Linked DNA regions of Mus musculus. The protein of the gene in region 1 purifies or fractionates together with the protein of each later gene. This does not show direct contact. Links are inferred from orthologs where the notes say so. Each region holds a gene or a part of one and is shown on either strand. Other genes may lie near its edges.

Region 1 (10,072 bases):
CATCCCCAAGAGCCCTAAACCAACCAAACCAAACCAAACCAAACCACACAACAACAAAAACCCCTTTATTTGTTGTATGTAAATGCTTGTACCATGGCATGTGTGTGGAGGTCAGAGGACAAGTTAGGGTTGTCTGTTCTCTCCTTCCATACGAATCCCAGGGAATACAACCTGGACTGTCAGACTTGGTGGCAAGCAACTTCACCCATTGAGCCACATCTCAAAGGTCCTAGGAGAGCATTCTTCTTCTTATCTTCCCCCAGGACAGACCTGGACAGTTATGAGTATATTTAAAAAAAATGGAAACACACATGAAAGTAAATAGCTCAGTATAATTCGTGCATTCACTATAGTTCCAACAATTCCTAATTCAGAGGCAGTATGGTTTAATCTGCACCTGACTCCCATCCTCTTCCTGTTGATGGTTTCAAAACATCAGACTTCTATCCACACGTTCTTCTGTGTGTAACCTTTGGCAGGCATGGCCTCCTCACACCCTGAAGCTGGTGCAGAGAAGGCAAGGCAGGCCACATCTTACCCTACCCCCTCTCATTTTCAGAACAAAGAGCCAAGCAACAGTCCAAGGGCAACGAGGACTTTGCAAGTCTTATTATGAACAAACTGGGTTTTAGGATATTAGGCATGCTTCAATTGATATATTTGTTTGTTTTTGGAGATAGGAGCTCACTCTGTAAACCTTGAACTCATGGCAATCCTCCTGCCTCAGCGTCTTGGATTCAGGGATTACAGATTCGAGTCTCTCTGTGCAGCTGTGCTGCTTGAATTCTGCTCTTGCTCAGACTTTTCCAAGTGTGTGTGTTTGGGGGGTGGAGTTTACACAAGCATGGGTATATATTTGTATGTGGTGGAGTATGTGTGGTGCACAAGGGTGTGTGTCTGTGTGTACATGTGTGTGAAAACCAGAAGACAAATTTTTGGTGTTGTTCCTCGGTGGCAGTCCATCTTGATTTTTGAGACAAGGTCTCTCTACATCTCTGACTGTCCTGGAACTCACTGTGTAGAAGAGGCTGACCTTGCACTCACAGAGATCCACCTGCCTCTGTCTCCCAAGTGCTGGGATTAAAGGCACGGGCTACTATGCCTGGTATATGTCCCACATTTTTATGTGGGTTCTGGGACTGAACTCAGTCTTCATGCTTGTCCAAGCAAGCAATTCACCAACCAGGCCATCCTCACCCTGATCTTTCCAAAGTTTTTAGTCGGATATAGCTGTAAAGTAATCTTGAAAGGAAACAACAGAGGAGATTATGGTAATATTTTAAACTCACATTAAAGATTTGTTTTTACTTCTTTGATTTTACATCTGTATCTTTTATATCTTGGTTCCTAAGAGACTCAAAAGGATTGCTTATTTGATATGTAAACATATATGTTTGATTTGTTCAGACAGCTGGTGCTGCAAATCTCCAGGTTCTGCAACCCACACCAGATGGAAGATATTTGAAAAACAAATTACTTCTGGATTGGACTAGCACAGCTCTTATTCTTTCCCCAACAATATAATGTAGACTACTCCACCTAACATTCCCATTGTGCTCGGTATTTTGAGGAATCTAGAGATGGGTTGAGCTACACTGGAGGATGCACATAGTTTCTAAACACAGACTCCCCTACTTTACGTGAAAGACTTGAGCACTGAGAATTTTAGCCTGGGGGTCATCTGGAGTAGGAACCTACCAATATTATTACCTATGGTTCAATTATTTTTTTCCTTTGGATATTAGTGATAATGACTGTCATGAACCTTTATTGTGTGGCTCTGTTAGAGTATAAGTCAACCAACAGAACCGCAATGTGTTTGTCTTTGTGTGTGTGTGTGTGTGTGTGTGTGTGTGTGATGGACTCACAGGTGTGTGAACATGCGCTTGTGAGCATTTGCAGAAGGCAGCAGAGGGTCTCTGGTGTCCTATTATATCACTCTTTGCCTTGGCAGGGTCCCTTGTTCAACCTTAGAGTTTGAGTTTTTCAGTTAGGCTGGAGCCAGAAGTCCCAGAGTCTTTGCCCCCCGCCCCACACACAAGCATGCAGAGGGTCACACTTGGCATTTATATGAGTGATGGATTCTTAACACTAGTCTTCATGCTTGAGAGGCAAGTTCTCTTAACCACTGAGCCATCATTTCAGCTGCTTATCTTTTGCTAATATAAGCCACGTTGCAGTAAGCACACAGGTTTATATGCTTATGTATTCTCTCTCTCTCTCTCTCTCTCTCTCTCTCTCTCTCTCTCCTTACATAGCCCAGGTTGGCCTTGAACTTACTATGTCGGTGAGGATGGCCTTGAATTCCTAATACTCTTGTAAACTCCTACCTCTCAAGTACTCAGATTACAGGTGTGCTCCACCATGCCCACCTTCATCTTCTGTTTTTCTCGTTTGTCTTTGGGTTGGCTATTAGTGGTGGGATTTCCAGGTCAAAAGGCACATACGCTCTTGCTAAGGCTGCCAAGATGCCCTTCCCACGGGTGATTAGGAAAGCACCTGCCACCCTGGCCTCTCCCAAAGATTGTGCCGTCAAACATCTGGAGTTTTGCCAATCAGATAGTGGGCCGCTGGTATCAGAGTGTACTTTTAATTTGCATTTTCTTATTATGAGTGAGGCTGAGAATGTTTTCCCCCTGAGGCACCAAGGCTGCATGCCTCTTTCCCTGTGTTCGGATCCTGTTTTCAGCCCACTCTCCCACAGCACTGGCTGCGGCAGTCTGCCCAGGCTTTAGATGGTCCTTATGTATGAATGATTATTATTAATCCTTTGCCTGTGGTGGTGAAAACGGCCTTGTCTCCTATCTCCTACTTCCCCTGCGGCAACTTTCTGCTTTATCTGCCGCTTCCGGATTTCACAGCACAGTTGGAAATGTTTTCCTTAGTGACAGTTTCTTGAGGCAGGTGCTCTTCCCCCACATCCTCATCAGACCTAGGTCCTTGCATACACCAGGCACACACTCTACCTCTGGTTATAGCAATGGCCCCTCACCTTTGTTCTTTCTGCACAGCTTTCACCAAAGCCTTTGATCCACCTGTTCTCGTATCCTTCCATCACTGCGATAAACACCAGGACCAAGAGCAGCTTGGGTGAGGAAAGGGTTTATTTCAGCTTACCAATTACAGCCCATCTTCAAAGGGGGGCCAGAGAAGGACCTCAACCAGGAACCTGGAGGCAGGCCTGCTCAATATTCTACATAGCACCAACTCCCATCAAAGAACTCATTCACAACCAAGGAAGTTGAGCAGAAAACCCAGAGGAGCGCTGCTTGCTTGTTTGTTTGTTCTCAGGCTCATGCCCAGCTACCTTTCTTATATAGCTTAGGCCCACCTGCCCAGGAAACAGACACGGCCCACAGTGGGCTGTGTCTTCCCACATCAACTAAGACAATCAAGACAATCTTCCTCAGACACACCCACAGTCTAATCCAATTTAGGCAGTCCTCCTACTGATTCCCTTCTCAGATGACCCTAGGCTGTGTCAAGTTGACAACTGAAGCTAACAGGACGGTATCTGAAAGTTATTCTTGTGAGTGGTGTGAGAGGTGGGTGTGGCGGATCACAGGAGAATGGGATTTTGGAATTGTCCTGGGATGCAGGTGCCCTTCCATCCCACACAAAGGCCAGTGTAGCAAGAGCCAGCTGCACAAACCTTCTGACTATCCTCACACCACCACGGGACATAAAGCTCCTTCTGTGTCACTCTGGAGAGGTACAAACTTAAAGGGAGTGTAAACATGTAAACGCTCAGGCAGCCCCGCGGGCGGTGTCTACCTGTAAAACCCGCAATCTAGCACTTGCCTTTGACCCCACTCTTAGTGAGCACCACTCTTGGTCTGTTCCCATCTCCTCCATCCCGCTGTCTTATGGGCTGCGATTAACTACTGGGAAGAGATTTTCGCATTCTCCGCCGCCAACAGAGGCTTCTGGACACCCAAGGGTGCTCAGTGTCCGCTGGGCTAACACTTCCTCATTCTGTGCCGGAAAGTGTCCATGCGTGGCCTGGGATGCCCTTTTCTGCCTCCCGCTCCCTCTCTAGGGTAGGTTCAGATAGCGAGAAAAAGGGTGCTTGTGATTCGTGGTGGTGGTATCTGCTGGTCCCAGGTTGGAGGACCCTAGAGCCAAGCAGGCGGGCGGTCCTCGGGGTGCGGGGAAGCACGTGCGCCCAGCAGGTGCGCCCAGCCCGGAACGCGGAGATAGCCTGACTTGGCTTGGCGGAGCAGGTAACCCGCTGGCTGAGCAAGGCCGCAGGTAGGCGCGCGGTGGCGCCCAGGGGCGGGGCGTCCTGGGGGCGGGACATGCCATCCCCGGGGACCAACCCCGCCCCCGCCCCCAGGCGGAGCAGACAGCGGCCCCCCGTGGCTGGGCTGGCAGCAGTGGCTACCCGCGCTGCGCCCTGCGCTCTGCGCTGCCTTCACCTCAGCTCCGAGGAGCAGCGGGGTCAGGGGTCCTGTCTGGCCATGGACACGGCCTCGTCCCCGCCCAGTGCTGAAAGGAAGCGCGCGGGTTGGAGCCGCCTGCTAGGCGCCCGGCGGGGCAGCGCGGTGGTCAAGAAGTGTCCCTTCTCACTGGAGCTGGCCGAAGGTGGCCCTGAGGGCAGCACGGTCTATGCGCCCATCGCGCCAACCGGAGCCCCCGGGCTCGCGCCCCCCATGTCGACCCCAGTGTCGCCCGCCCCGGCCCCTGCAGACCTCGGCCCACGTCCGCGGGTGAGCCTTGACCCGCGGGTCTCCATCTACAGTGCGCGCCGCCCGCTGCTGGCGCGCACCCACATCCAGGGCCGAGTCTACAACTTCCTCGAGCGCCCCACGGGTTGGAAGTGTTTCGTGTACCACTTCACCGTGTGAGTAACCTCCCTGCACGCACGACTCTTAGGGCTGGTGCCACTATGACCCTAGGGGAGGCAAGGAAGGGCTAATCACAGAAAGCAGAAACCAGACTGAGAGTCGGTCCCTTAAACTCAGGGACTCTGCTGTGGCTTGTGGAGGGGGACACTTGCAGTACACCAACCTAGGAGATCCCCCAGGGCATTCACTTGGGATAGAGGGACAGCGCTTAGATGTTAGTCTCTACAGGAGGAGTAAGCAAGCTGGAAGCCGACCTTTTGGTGTGGGTCAGTTGTGACAAGAGAGACTCAGGAGCCTCCAGGAGTGACTGGTGTCTGTGTGCAAGCCCATCCAGGCCTTGGCTGGTGTCTGTGTCTTAGGCACTCAGAGCAACAGGATAGATTAGCAGGTGCACTGGTGTTGCCCAAGATGTCCACAGGGAGTGCCCACAGCTTCAATAACCCAGGCTGATGAAAGCAGGCTTGATGCCCTGAGCGAGCCCAGTAGACATTGTCCGAGAACAGCACCTGCTTTAGGGAACAGGAGAGGGAGCTGAGCTGCACCTGGCCCTCACTGCTACCAGGTGGCTCTTATTCTCACAGGCTGCCTGAGAGGGGCAGGGCACTTCATTTTTCAAGGGCAGGGTCACAGAAAGTCATCTCCAGGAATGGGCTGGCTGCCCTCCTTGCTGCCTCCCCTGGCCACCTCGAGGCAGCACTTCCTGGCTGCCTAGTTTCTTGGTGCCCTGCCAGCCTCTGGCTCAGGATTCTACTCAACCGACCCCGCAGCTAATTGCTTTAGATGTTCCACTAGGTGACCTCCTTGTGGCTAGTCTTGCCACCTGGGCAGGGGAGGACCTCCACTGGTTGTCCAGAGGTCTGTTTATGCCTCTGAGGCACAGCAAGAACCAGGCTCACAAAAGTGAATTCGGATGGCTGTTTGCCTTGCAAAGGGAGACGATTGCCCAGGGTATCCAGGGCAAGTCTCTGGACACCCTGTCCCCACTGGCATTCTTGGTATGTCCTTAAGGCCACCCAACCCCCTGCCTTACCTCCCAAAGTGCCAGGACCCCTGAGGCTTCATTGCTGGTCTTTCGAGGATGGAGGCACTGCATGTGTTTGCAGCAGGAGTGGGCTTTTCTCAGGGCATAAAGACCCCAAAGGGCCTTAACCTTAACCACTGTAGGAATGTCTAGCAAACATGGCTTGCTGCTTTCTATAACTTGCCTGCTGGATCCTAAGATCCCTGAGATGAAAGGTGCTGGAGAAGCCGCTACTCTGTTACCTTTTTGTGCAGGAGCCCCATTTGCCAAGGTGGGCAGCCTTCAGACACTTGCATGGAATCCTCCTGGGGATGCAGGTCATTAGAATGAGCGTTGTTAAGTTCCTGACTCTGGTGGCCTGGACCTGGTGGAGGAAGAGGGCTTGTCCTGCCCCAGAGGAAGTCTGTGCTTACACTGTGCTTTCTTCCTGAATTGGATTGTTCAGCCCTCGGGAAGTTTGCTCAGCAGAGCTTGCCTTTGCCCAGCCTCCTCAGGAGCCAGGAGCCAGGAGCCAGGAGCCAGGAGCCACTGAGCCCTGGTGGCTTCTAGATTGGTGGTCTAAGATCTTCTTTGTCAAGGAGAGGGAGAGAGATGCTAGCTCCTGAGTGGTGGTCGGTGAATCTTGCCCAGCCCTGGCTGCCCATGGAGTTTAGTTACAAAGAGGGAGGGGTAAGTAAGCTGGGAGGACCCTGCTGGGTACAGCATGTGGTTTGCTCAGACACTAGGGGGAGGGATCTCATCTCCATCACCTTCAGGAGGTGGGCAGGACCCTCTGGGTCAGGCAGTTTCCAGAAAAGAGTCATGGCCAGCAGTTGGGAGCCTAACATCTTTATAAAATGTGTGGTCATGCTGGTTGTCCCTGGTGATGTTCTAAGAAGCAAATGTGGCTGGCAAACTGTGAGCTCCGCACTTGGTAAGATGGACCCTTAAAACATACAGGGATGGTTCTGTGGCCCAAAGGACAAGCCTGCTTTTGAAAAGCAGGGCATGAATGTGTGGGGGTGGAGGGGGTGGAGGGGTGAGAGCCAGTGTCCTGCAGTCTCTGGGGTATGCTTTCCCACATGCGTATGGGGAAACAGACCCGGACATCCTGGCCCCTCCTTGGGGGACCCCTGCCTTGGCCCAAGTAGAGCGGCTCTTCCTGTGTCTGTGCTGACCTCCCCTGCTTGACAGGGTCAGGACACTGGTCCCCAGGCACTGCCCTCTGCTGCTTGGGTTCCCACCCCACCCCCTCACCCTAATCCTATCTTGTGGCTCTTTGAGTTCCCATAGAGAGCAGCCCCCTTCCTAGCCAAGGTCACAGGGGTCCAGCTGCCTTGCTGTTGGGCCTTGGCCAGGGTTGGGGGCAGATGTTCCAAACTATCTACTCTGACTGTCAAGCTGCTTGGAGACCCTGGTTGTGACCAACAGAGGGGTTTAAGAGATACTACCCACCTCCCTCACTTTTGAACCTGAACTTGATCATCCTGTCTCTATCCTCTCACAGTTCTGGCTTGCTCAGTTCCCTGAGAACTTTTTGGTGGCTTTTGCTAGTACCTCAGGGAGTTGATCGTGAGTGGAGCTTACAGCTACTCCTGGTAGTCAAATGGGCTGGCCTTTTTGATTGCAGGGGCTGCAGTGTATTGGTTATGACTCTCATGGAGTGGCCAGTGGGCAATTAGTTAGCAGACCTAGGAAGATGGCTGTCAGGATGATGGGGACAGAGCAGTGAGGGCTGTGTAGATGACCAAGTCTTTCCTTCTGGTTACTATAAACACCTCTACCTATTCTTCAACCCTAGATAAAATTTGAAGCTTCTCCACATGCCATCTCCTCTGGGGCCTGGTCCCTTGGTGTCATCAGCTAACTCTCTTGGCATCTTGACTTTCCAGGTACACATAACCCCTCAACCTGTCCTCAGACCCAGCCTGGCATTTCTGTGTACACTGTGTGCCTGTGTGTGGAGCACTTCATCTTGGTTTGTTCTGAGTTGGGTGGCCATAAACATCCCTTGTGGCAAGGCTCCCAGCTGGGTAGTAGGAAGAGACAATCCCATGGAACTCCGACCTGAGGAAGAGCCTCCCTACCCTGGACATGAGGGCATGGGGACCTATGCCAGGCTAAGGTAGTACTGGGAGCTGCTGAGGCAGGGAAGAAGCCCATGGTGTCACAAGGACAGGGCATTGTCAGGCCAGCTGCTATGGCCTCTGTTTCTCAGGGAGTTTGGTGTTTAGAGCCCTCTGGTGGCAAAGGTAGTGTCCAGAGCTCATGCTTCCTGGGTGTGGTGTCCCCTTTGCAAACAGTGCTTACTTAACAAAGCACAGTGCAGGGTGGCATCCACAGCAGGTCTGCCTAGCAGTGAGGAGAGCTGCAGCTGTCTCTATCAAGTGGCTCCTGAGTAATAAGATGCACAGTTCTGGTCATGGCCAGTGTAAGGGCCCCTGCTCCTCCCACCCTCTCTCTTCTGCACCCTTATCTAGGAAGTGGACCCTGATTAGCCCCATGGTCCCTCCTGGCTCTGACATTCCAGTCCAGCTGTTGCCTCCTATGTACCTTGCTGTGATTCATTTCCCTCTTCATGAGATTGACAGGCTGGGGCAGACACCAGGGCATGTTCCAGGACCAAAAGGAGTCCAGGTGGTATGGGGATGGGTGGTCTGTCCCAATGAAAGGTTGTAGAGAAGCTTCTAGAAGCTCTTATGCCTCTGGTAGGGAGAATGAAGGAAATTAAGTGCTGGCCACAGGGGCCACTTGGATGCTGAAACTAAGGAATAGTTGCAGAGGGAAGGTGCAGGCCCTTTTGACACTGTGGGGAAGCATAAGAAGTAATAGGTAGAGCAGGAGGTAGGCTGTGGCCCTGCAGGGCCTTAGGGCCAAAGAGTAAGTGGTGCTACTTAATAGATTATGCCATCTAAGCTCTGCTCATCCTACCTGAGGCACTCAGGGATGTATCCTCCTTGCTCTTCCTCATGGGAATCCCTTTTCATAACCCCTTGGAGCATGCAGAGCCCCAGATTTCTGCAAGCCTCAGAGAGGAGCCAGTGGTTGCTCTATCAGCAGGGTGACTGTGGCCATCACAAGACCTGACTTTTCATGAGGCTTCAGAGCCCGTGAAAGGACTGCCTCTGTGAACACGTTATCTTCTGCTGTGTGGCCCAGCCCCGTTCCCTGGCCCTGCCCAGAGGCCTCTTGAGAGGTGGAGGGGACTGTAGCAGTGGCTCTGTCAAGGGCCTGTCAAATATGGCTACTTGCTGTGTGCATCTGGGAACCCTGGAACTTGGAGACAGTAGCTTATCTGCCTAAGGTCACACAGTTGGCTATGCCCAAGAATCCAGGAGCTCCCTCCTCATAAACCACACGCTGATCAAACCAAGTAAGGAGTGGATTGCTATTCTTCTGGGAGTAGAGTCTCTGAATGGAAGGATCTTGTCCTGTGGGAATGAGTTGGAGTCTGACATGACAAATGTCAGACGCAATACACACTCTGTCAAATGTTCAGAAGCTGCTTCCTCCAGGAAGCCTTCCCAGGCACATATGTGCTCAGTGCCTCTGTCTTTGTCCCCTTGCCTTGCCTTGCCTTCAAGCACATAAAGAATCCATTGGTAAAACTGTCTGTCTGTCTGTCTGTCTGTCTGTCTGTCTGTCTGTCTCTCTCTCTCTCTCTCTCTCTCTCTCTCTCTGTGTGTGTGTGTGTGTGTGTGTGTGTGTGTGGTGTTAGCAAGTATCTTGATGTTCCTGAGTGCTAAGAGGCCATACAGGCAGGGCCACCTAGAGCTGTCTGGCTCCTTTCAAAGGCTTTCTTCACCTTTTACTTTACCCCACCCTCACAGCCTGGGCTGTGGCAACTGCTGCCTGGAAAACTCTAAGCCCCACGACAGGCCAGACTGATGACATCTGCCTGCAGTATTTTTATCCAGTGGCATTCCTGAGCTTGAGAAAGTGGTGGGTAGATGCAAAGGCTGCCAGAGGGCTTTTCAGTGGCCTGGGGATAGTCCTGAGGTTCCTACCCATTAATGTTCTAATAAAGCCAGGGCTTCTGTCTTAGCTACTGCCCTGACTGAGCACAGGCAGATCTGAGGTAGAAGCACTCACATGGTGCTTGCCCACTTTCTGGCTACTTCTTGGAAAGTCCCCAGGTCTGGTTGTGGGAACTGAGCAGAACACACCTGGATGTGGTTCCAGAAAGATCCAGGCAAAGGCATTGTGTCCTGGAAAAGAGACCATT
Region 2 (10,094 bases), on another chromosome or scaffold:
ACCTAGTCTTAAGAGTGATCTGAACACTTGTAGCTCACTCAGCAAGACTGATTCACTCAACACCCCAGTAGCCATAGTAATTTTCAGCAATTTATCTAGCAAGAGTAATACAAAACTTTCTATTTAGAATAAATGTATTTATTTGCAAAACACATGAAACTCAAGAAGGAAGACCCAAGTGTGGACTCTTTGCCCTTTCTTAGAATTGGGAACAAAACACCCATGGAAGGAGCTACAGAGACAAAGTTTGGAGCTGAGACAAAAGGATGGAACATCTAGAGACTGCCATATCCGGAGATCCATCTCATAATCAGCCTCCAAACGCTGACACCATTGCATACACCAGCAAGATTTTGCTGATAGGACCCTGATATAGCTGTCTCTTGTGAGACTATGCCGGGGTCTAGCAAACACAGTAGTGGATGCTCACAGTCAGCTATTGGATGGATCACAGGGCCCCCAATGGAGGAGCTAGAGAAAGTACCCAAGGAGCTGAAGGGATCCGCAATCCTATAGGTGGAACAACATTAAGAACTAACCAGTACCCCGGAGCTCTTGTCTCTAGCTGCATATGTATCAAAAGATGGCCTAGTTGGCCATCACTGGAAAGAGAGGCCCATTGGACTTGCAAACTTTATATGCCCCAGTATAGGGGAACTCCAGGGCCAAAAAGTAGGAATGGGTGGGTAGGGGAGTGAGGGGGAGGGTATGGGGGACTTTTGGGATAGCATGGGAAATGTAAATGAGGAAAATACCTAATAAAAAAGAAAAAGGGGAAAAAAAGAGTAAATGTATTTTATCCTGAGTAGAAAGACTACATGGGCCTTTGCCATAATATTTGGTAACTCACAGTTTAATATATTGCAACTACTTACTGATGTAAAAGACCTTGCAGATCTGAATTTTGTGTTCATATATTCTATTAGTCAGTAATTAATTGCACTCTCTTGGATTATTGGCCTATAATTGCATCCTTGGTAATAGTAGTACCTTAAATTTCTCTGATTTCATTTAGATTATAGGTCACTTTAATGGTTATAGTTCTGTCTTATAAGTTATTATTTTAAAGGACTTTCATTTTGAAACTTATTTTATTGAGCACATTTTATAAACATATATTTAGTCCCTTAAAACCCCACTGTTGGGGCTGCAGAGGTGGCTTAGTAGGAAAAGTGTCTGCCTCACACGTGTGAGGAACAGTTTGCACCCCACACATGTTAATGCTGAACAGTCACAGTAACATGCTTGTGACCCCAAGCTCAAGAGGGAGAGATGGGTAGGACCCGTGAAGCTGGCTAGTTAGAGTAGCTGCATTGTCAAGGTCTTAGTTCCAGCCTCCATCCACATGTGAAACGTGACTAAGGAAGCCCCCAAGGCCAACCTCCAGCATCCAGAAGCACATGAATACATATCTGACTTCCACACATGTAAACATACGTGTGCACTCAGAGCACACATACAAAAGAGCCTCTGCAAATCCTGACCCTTTTTATTTTTTAATTTTTTTTTTTTTATTGTTTGGAGACATAGACAGCTAAATAGAAAAAGACTCAAATTCACGGCTTGGCAGCACTAGCTATGACTTCCATTACCTAACCATGGGAAGTTGTCAAGTGGTTTAACCATTCAAGCTTTCTGTTTCTTATTCTATAAAAGGAGGCATATAAACCACCATTTTCCTTTTGTCTGAATTATATGAATACATGACATGGAGACACGATTGAACAGGTATCATAAGAGATGGCCATAATTCCACAGATGTGCCCTTCTAATAGATCAGCTATGTCACTGAGCAGCGTTTATGCCTGAGACAGGTACATATAATTGATATAAGTGATCTAAAGGGAAATGCAGAAATAATCTTGCAACATTTAGCAGATCACTAACATCTTTAGTTACTAAGATGGAACAGATTGCAACAAAGAGTTGACCTGCTGAGCCACTGAGAAAGGAGAGCCCATTAACAAACAGGAAGTCTGTCAGATATCCTGGGCTTGCTCCTCCTAGGCAATCAGAATCAACCGAGCATCACTTAACTCCAGGCAGTTTAGAACACTTCATTCTAGACCTGGAGCCACAAAGGGCTCCCGAGAAAAACACGCCTCTCTTAGATCAGCCTCTTTTACTTTCCTTTATTCTTATGATGAGGTGTCTGTTCTCACGTCCCCAATTCCAGCTGAGAAAATGGGGCAAATACACACTTGATTGTTTTAGGTTGGCACAATTATGTTTGAAATATAAGATTTCTAAATTACAGGTACTAGAAACATTTTTGGTGTCTGATAGAGCTAAGGTTTTTAGTCTCCCCCTTTCATATGTATATCCAGTTAACACTACTTCTATGATTAAACTAATATCTTTAGTTCTTACCTGCTAATTTTTCAGTCCAAACCTATGTTAAAACAAAGAAGAAAGGCTCAATCTGAGACACTAAAATGGTTCGTTCACTCCAGAAATGGATTTGAGGGGCAGGAGAGGGGAAAGAGGGAGTGAGGGAAGGGAAAGAAAGGATTGCCAGAGCAGGTGGGGGAGGAAAGATGTTAAGAATCGATTTATAAGCACGGCTCAATAAAATGTAACAAAGTTTATTGGGCATAATCTTTCACAGTAGCCATTTCAAGAAATAGAAAGGACAAAGGTTTGAGTGTTTTCACATTCCAGGAGCAGTCATAAATATTAGGCAGCTCGTCCAAGAACTCCAGGTAAAGTCAGAGAACCATAGCTGTTTTAAGGTCTTTAAAGTTCAAAGTTAACATAGTCCCTTTTGCTTGGAAAACCTTTTTCCAGCCCTTTACCTGAGGTAATGTCTACCTCAGAGGTGAAGGGGAGAGAGGTAAGCCAGGAGGGGTCATGGTGGGGTGGGGGGGATGGGAGGAGAGGGGGGCTGAGGTCAGGATGTAAAGTGAATAAATAACTAATGGGGGGCTGGAGGAGGGAAAGTTAGGGTAGACTGGCTTTGTTCCCAACTTAGATTCCGAATTCGAGTTCCTTAGGAACACAGTTGCCAAGGAGAAGGAAGCCCCTAGGAGTGTCTCAGCTTCACTCCAGAGAACAAAGAGTTGGGAGAAGGCTCTACCGTAGGCTGCTCTTCCAGCGCAAGGCGAAGGAGAAGACTATGGGTTGAGAGGGAACCTGTGGGGGAACTGAGGGAGGGATTTGGGGTGAAGGAAGGATCAGGCTTCCCCGGGTTGGAGGGGGGAGGTTCCGCCCTCGCCCTTTCCACTGCGGCTCCTTGTTGTGAGGCCGCGGTCGCTTTGGAATTGGAAATGCAGCGCGGCGTGTTCCGAGCACCGGGTCCCCGGAGCAGTGGGTGTCGGGCCGCCGGACCCTGACCCTCCCTCCGCCCCGGTCAAGCCGGGCGCGCACAAGCACCTGCCGGGCCACGCTCGCGGCTGCGCCGGCCGCCCGCCCGCCCGCTCCGCCCCGCCGGCCGCCGTGTGTTTACGTGGAGACGAAGATGGCGGCGGTGACCGCGGGGCCCGTGCAGGCCGGCACGAGTCGCCGGTGAGCGCCCAGCGTGTCCCGGGTGGCCACGGAGCTCTGTCCGCCTCTTTCTAAACAGATCTTTCCTCTCCACTGCGTCCCAGCCTACCCTGCAGACGCCATGGAGGACGAGGAGAGGCAAAGGAAGCTGGCAGCCGGCAAGGCGAAGGTAGGAGCGCGGCGGCCACGGGCCGCGTCGGGAGGCGGTGACCCGGGGCGGAGGCTGGGGGAGAGGCCGGGCCGCGGGGCCGGGGCCGGGGCTGGGGCTGGGGCTGGGGCCGGGGCCGGGGCTGCGGCTGGGGCTAGGGGGCTGCGGCTGGGGCTGAAGAGCCGCCCTCTCTTGCTGCTGCTGGAGACCTGATGACTGCACCGCTCGGCTTGGTTCCTTTCTCCCCGGTGCCACACAAAACCCCCTCTCACCCCGGCTGTTAACTGCTAAGGAATTGCTTCGCAGCCACCACCCTTTCACTTTCTGAAGGGAGTTCAGGGAGTCGGCCAGGCTTTGTGCTTTCCGGAGCAAGGGTTTAGGGTTTTCTTTATTCCGGGAACACCCCTGCGCTGACCATCAGCCTGCCTTCTTGAGGTGTCACGCTGGCACTCTTGGTGTGTGTGTGTGATTGGCCTGTGACAGCTGCCTCGGCAGTGTCTTGAGTGTGCCACAAGTGCCAGCTGTGAACTTGGCTGTAGGGGCGTTCTTTTTGTTTTTTGTTTTTTGTTTTTGTTTTTGCCGTTCTTTGTATATTCGTGCTTGAGGTCTTTGTCATGGCAGGCTCTTTTGTAATGTGTGGAATGGAACTTCGGGGCATCGAAAGGTTCCATAGACTAAAACACCTACAGAATTGCTGTTTTAGATAATGTATTTGTTATTATGTATTTGGTAAGTTTGATTTTGTGTGGGTATGCGGGTATGGCAAGTCATGTATAATCCAGACTTATATGTAGGCATCTTCCAGTGGGCTTACTAAATAATTTGACACTGTTATGAATGGAATAGAATGATTTCTTTGTAAAATTACCTGTTTGAGCTTACCTTTGGACCTCCTTGCTCCCAAAAATGAAGTTACCTTTAAGATATAGTGCCTTTTTTTAAGACCTTATTGTTACTGGGAATAATTAAGTTATATTTTAAGCTTATTGTACTTGTTAGTTTGGAACTGTGATATGGAAGTGTTGTAAGCTAAATAAACCCCTCTCCTCTCCAAATTGCTTTGGTCATGATGTTTCATCATAGCAATAGTAACCCTAACGAAGGCACCTACCTTTCTTTTTTCTTCTCTCACATCATTAACAAAGGAAGCAGGTCAGTAATGAGTGAAGGGCCCTACTGGAGAGAGACGTTGGTACATGCTCAGCATTAGTTTGTTAAAGGAGTGTGTGCAATAGCTAATCTTGTATTTCTAGAATATAGTTAGTTGGTTTCCCATAAGCATCCTCTGTGTAAGGTCAAGATTTGAATGTGTCTCTGTGGCATTCTATAAATGGAGGGAAAGCCCAGCTTAGCTTCCCATTGTGCACCCCAAGGGACTGACCGGGCTCAGAGCATTGAAGGAATTGGAGGTGTAGTGTGCAGTCTTCCTCTCTTGTTCTCCCACCCTTTCTTTCTTTAGCAGAATCTTAGACTATAGTCCAGGTGAGCCTAGAGATCAATGTGTAGTCCAGGCTGGCTGGCTTCAGACTCTAGGGCAATTCTGTGTTAACCTTCAGAGCGATGGAATTCTGTGTGTGAGCTACTGTGTCCAGATAAGGTAGATGTCTTATTGACTACTTCATAATTTCTACTCCCTTCCCTAAATATATTCTGTGCTAAATATGTGTGAGGGACTCCTGCTGAGCTTTGTCTGCCTTCACTAGACCTGTCTTAGGGTTAAGTTGCTGCCAATAGATACTGGATTTATCTTTAGAAGAGATTGTGAATGTGGTTTCTACACATGTCTCTTTGTCTTTCAAAATGCTGTCTTTGTGGGGTTGGGGAGATAGGTGGTCTATTCACTGTGTGAACTGCTTGCTGTACAGGCATGTACACCGGGGTTCATAGTTGTAGCGCCCACACAAAGCTGGACGGCTGGACATGGTGGCATGCATCTGTAATGCAGGGCTTGGGAGAAAGGGACAGACAGACCCGTGGGACGTCCTGTCCAGTCCTCTAGCCAAAACACCAAGCTTGAGTGTCATCTGGACACCCTGTCTCAAAACATACTATACAAGGTGGATGGTGACAAGGGACAGCAAATGTGTCCCTGCACATAATTCATAGCTCTGCCTTTGGGGATGCAGTCTCTCTCCTAAAATTACTTTATTTAAAATATTACTTTGTCATAGAATTGCACCTACTCTCCCCATGAGGGTTATACCCATGTGTCTTATAAGTAGTTCTGGTAATGTAACAAACAGACACTGAGATAGCCTATGAAGACAACATGAAGAAAATAGTTTTCTCAGTTACCTGAAGGAATGTTCTGCAGCCATTACGCTTGTAGAGCCTCAAATGAACATGGGTCATAAAGTGCACCTTGTGTTTTCAAAAGCACTACATGTGTCTTTCATCTGTATAAACATGCTGCCTCTAATTAGGAGTGAAAAAAAAAACCGTATTGTGAATATAATCAGTGACTGGGGGGTGTAGCTCTGTGGTGCAGTGCAGAGCCCTGGATCCAGCTGACTTCATAAAGTCCCGTTTTATGGCAGGAATTGAAAGTACAGATGTGATGATTGCCTCTGCTCTGTGGGTCTAAAGGCAGACACAGGGTAGTGAGTCAAGTGCGGGCGCTCTGCAGTAGGGCCTGTGATAATTTATCTTCCCTAGTTTGGTAAAATGTTTTAGATACTGTTTACTTCCTGGAACATTATACGACGATGCTCTATTATTATGTTAATGCAGCTTCTAATTATCTATCAGATAGTAATTATTCAATACAATGTCTGCTTATTGAGTGAACAGAATGAGAAATGAGTCCTCCCTGGGTGCTTCTTTGTAAGTATGGCTACTACATAGTAATAAAGAATTCTTAGTCTAAAGTTGTTCATTGCTGCATAAGAAAAGAACATATAAAATCATTTTCCAAAACCCATTTAGAAGCTTGGTTTTCCACATTTCCTATTTACTGGGCTTAGTTGTTGTCTTTGATAATTTGTTTTCATAAATCACAATTCTTAAATCTTTTTCTTGGTAACTAACTGATTGGTAGGTTGTTTCATTGAAAATTTCCATTTATCTAGAACACATAAACACTCACTTTAAAAATAGCTTGTCATGTATACATTATAGTATATTTTACGAAATGTTTTATACCAATCTAAATCCAGTAAAGGAGAATAAATTATGGTGTATATGTAGCACAAGATCATTCTACAAAGACTTTAAGCTGGGTAAATCACCACAAATAGTGCTGGGTGAAAGGCTGTTGGGCTGACCAGCTCAGTCCCTGCCCAGTCCCAGATCCAGGGCTCTGAGCTGGCCCACCCAGTGTCTCTCCCATCTGTGAGCTGCTTCACATGTAAAAGGGGCGGATCCACAGCTCAGGACCTCCAGTGTCATAGGACAATAGCCTCTCCTAGTGGACTCCATGTGAGGAGAACCTTATCGCTACGGTATGGTAAGGTGTGTGCTGTCCCATAGAGCACTGTGGCTTAACTAGGTCCCAGTATGGATGCTGTCATAGAAGCCAGAGGCCTTGAACTGGACCAATGACCTGCAATGGACATTTCCAGGTAGACATGTGTGGCCAGAGGGTATTCTGTGGCACACACTGTGACATGCTACAGACAGATGTTTTCTATGCTTTCTTTTGTTTACTTATTTCTTTTACTTGGGACAAAGGGCAGACACAAAGGGACGCAGAAAAGTTGCTTTTTTTCAGGTATTTGGTCTCCGTAACAAGAAAAGTAATTAACCTGAAAGATGTCTGGCAGGAAGCACCAAAGGCTAGCACAGCTCCTGTTCTTATGGTCCCAAGCCGTATCCCCATCCCCACAATAGTTCTGTTATCATTAGGAAAAAATTAAAATACTATTTTAAAAAATAATCAAACCTTATCGCTACGGTATGGTAAGGTGTGTGCTGTCCCATAGAGCACTGTGGCTTAACTAGGTCCCAGGTGCCCTGTGGTCCTGGGCTGGTTCTGCTTTACTCAGCATTGCTCGTGTCATATAGCTGGCTTCGGTGTTAGAAGGCATTTGGGCGATGTCCTTTTGTTTGTTTGTTTGTTTGTTTGTTTTTTGTTTTTTTAAGGCAAAGTGTCATGTAGCCCAGGCTGGCCTTGAACTCCTGCTCCTCCAGCCTGTCTTCAGCACTGCAGACGGGTGCCCCAGACACTCCAAGCCCAGTGGATCTCTCTTGCACTCATTGCTGGGGACAGATCATCTGGCCTTACCCCTTCCTTTCCTTTGCTCCTACTTTGCTGTTTTAGGTCTGCAGTGACTAAAGAACCCAGAAACTGGGGTTCATAGACGAGTTTGTGAAAATTCCAAGGAGAAGGGAGCCAAGCAGAGCAGACTTCTCTGCCAGCTTAGTGTCTTCGTGGTTGTCTTTGCATTTGCTGTAGGGTCCTCAGTATTAGTGTTGTAAAAATCCTGTTTCCTGAGGAGAGACGATATTACCAGATTATTAAGTATTTTCAGACCCAGGCAAACCCTGTTTACTATGAAAAGATCAGGAATGGCACCACAGAGGCTGTCTGTCCTGTGTTGAACCAAACATTTCAGCTCCATTTTAAAAGACTTACTTTTTCCAAGTAAAATTACTTGGAAATTTACTGTTTTATGAAGAGTATTATAATACAACTATATCTTCAAATCATATTAGGAATGTTTTTAAAAGCTTGGTACGTACAGTACAATTTTTAAAATGGAAGTTTTGTGCCAGGGAGGCAGTGCTTTATATAATAGACATTGTTTAGTGAATTAATTAAAGTTCTTGGCTTCTTCATTTTTTGTCAGCAGTTATGATTCTTATATGTTCACCAAGCATTCACGGTTTGAGTAGTACCAGGTATATGCAAAGAGAAAAAGGCTTTCTTTTCTTTGAGATGTGGACAGCCAGGGTTTTCACCTTCTTTCTGTACAGTTGCTCCTTCTGTTTTCATGCGCACTTCTTTCCTGCCTTCCTGATTCTTGATAGGCGGTCTTAGGTGTGACAGAAGTATCTAGTCTAGCGTTCTCAGCAGTGCAGGAGTTAATGCCTTCATTCACAGCATGGCAGAGCAGGAATCGAAAAGTCATTCATTATCTGCAGGTTTCACTGAAGTGAGAGAAAAATGCTTCTTCAAAGGCAAGGTCTCTGGAGTAAACCCCCAGTGGCAAAACACAGGGCAAAGAGACCCAAGGGAAAGCTTCACCTGTTTGAACGGTCTTTGTCCCACTCCTTTGTCACAGTCCTCCTCTGGCTGTCCTGCTTCTTTTCTACACGCTGTTACTCAGCAATGGCAGTACTCTCCATCAAGCTGAAGGGGTCAGGTGACAAACATGTTCCAGGTATCCTGTGACAAGAATGGATCCCAGATCTTTTTTTCATTTTTAATTATTTATTTATTTATTTATTTATTTATTTATTTATTTTTGAGACAGGGTTTCTCTGTGTAACCCTGGCTGTCCTGGAACTCACTCTGTAGACCAGGCTGGCCTCGAACTCAGAAATCTGCCTGCCTCTGCCTCCCAACTGCTGGGATTAAAGGCGTGCACCACCACTGCCCGGCTCAAAAATCTTTGAAAACAATGTCCTATTTCAAGATTGTGTGTGTGTGAGTGTCTTCCCTGCATGCATATGTGTGCACTATGTGCATGCCTAGTGCCCTTGCAGTTTAGAAAAGGTCCCCTAGAACTAGAGTTATAGGTGGTTGTGAGCCTCCATGTGGGTGCTGGGAACCAAATCAAAGTTTCTGCAAAAACAAGTGCTCCTGACTGCTGAGCTGTCAGTCCCGCTCCAGATGTCTTCACTGTATAAAGAAAAACGGTTCTAGCAAGAGCAAAGCTACACAGTGCTCGAGAATTGTGCTTTAGTGAAACTGAAGTTAGCTAGCCTTGTCTGACATGGCAGTGAGAAAAAAGTAACCTGCTGAACATTGATGAGGATAGCATATTTATTTTGCAGCGATATTCTTCTAAAATTAAAATTTGGAATTCTTTTCAATTGATTAGTATCCTCTGAAACATCCCCACCCCCACCCCTAAGATGGGATTTCTCTGTGTAGCCCTGGCTGTAGTAGAACTCTCTCTGTAGACCAGGCTGGCCTTGAACTTAGAGATCTGCCTGCCTCTGCCTCCCCAGTTCTGGGATTAAAAGTGTGCTACCACTGCTCTGCTAAAACTTTAACCTTTTAACTTGCAAAACTACTGAAAATTTGAAAGTTTGTTTGTTATAAAGGTTGCTTCTCTCTCTGTCTGTCTCATTTTATCTGTGTGTATGTGTGTGTGTGTGTGTGTGTGTGTGTGTGTGTGTATGCACTGTCTCTGTCTCTCTCTCTGTCTCTCTCTCTTTCTCTGTGTGCGCATGTGCAGGTCTCTGAGAGGGAGAGAATATATATAATTCTGTACTCTGGCCTAGTAGAAAAGACTCTAGGACTTTGGAGGCATTTATTCTCTCATTTGTTTTAAACACAACTACAACTATGGACTTT

The links. Proteins that work in one complex are often made in the same cells at the same time.
Region 2: the proteins of Kcnq1 (region 1) and Akap9 purify together in Homo sapiens (affinity purification with western blotting; 3 studies listed by BioGRID and IntAct, with this or other methods). This does not show direct contact. The link is inferred for Mus musculus from reciprocal best matches to the Homo sapiens genes KCNQ1 and AKAP9.

The regions. Positions count from the first base shown.
Region 1 is NC_000073.6:143,102,899-143,112,970, forward strand, and holds the start of Kcnq1 (potassium voltage-gated channel subfamily KQT member 1), read left to right. Parts: upstream 1-4,460; coding exon 4,461-4,843; intron 4,844-6,300; exon of another isoform or gene 6,301-6,537; intron 6,538-10,072. UniProt on the Homo sapiens protein: Pore-forming subunit of the voltage-gated potassium (Kv) channel involved in the regulation of cardiomyocyte excitability and important in normal development and functions of myocardium, inner ear, stomach and colon.
Region 2 is NC_000071.6:3,924,839-3,934,932, forward strand, and holds the start of Akap9 (A-kinase anchor protein 9), read left to right. Parts: upstream 1-3,347; 5' UTR 3,348-3,604; coding exon 3,605-3,652; intron 3,653-3,750; exon of another isoform or gene 3,751-7,118; intron 7,119-7,570; exon of another isoform or gene 7,571-10,094. UniProt on the Homo sapiens protein: Scaffolding protein that assembles several protein kinases and phosphatases on the centrosome and Golgi apparatus. Required to maintain the integrity of the Golgi apparatus. Required for microtubule nucleation at the cis-side of the Golgi apparatus.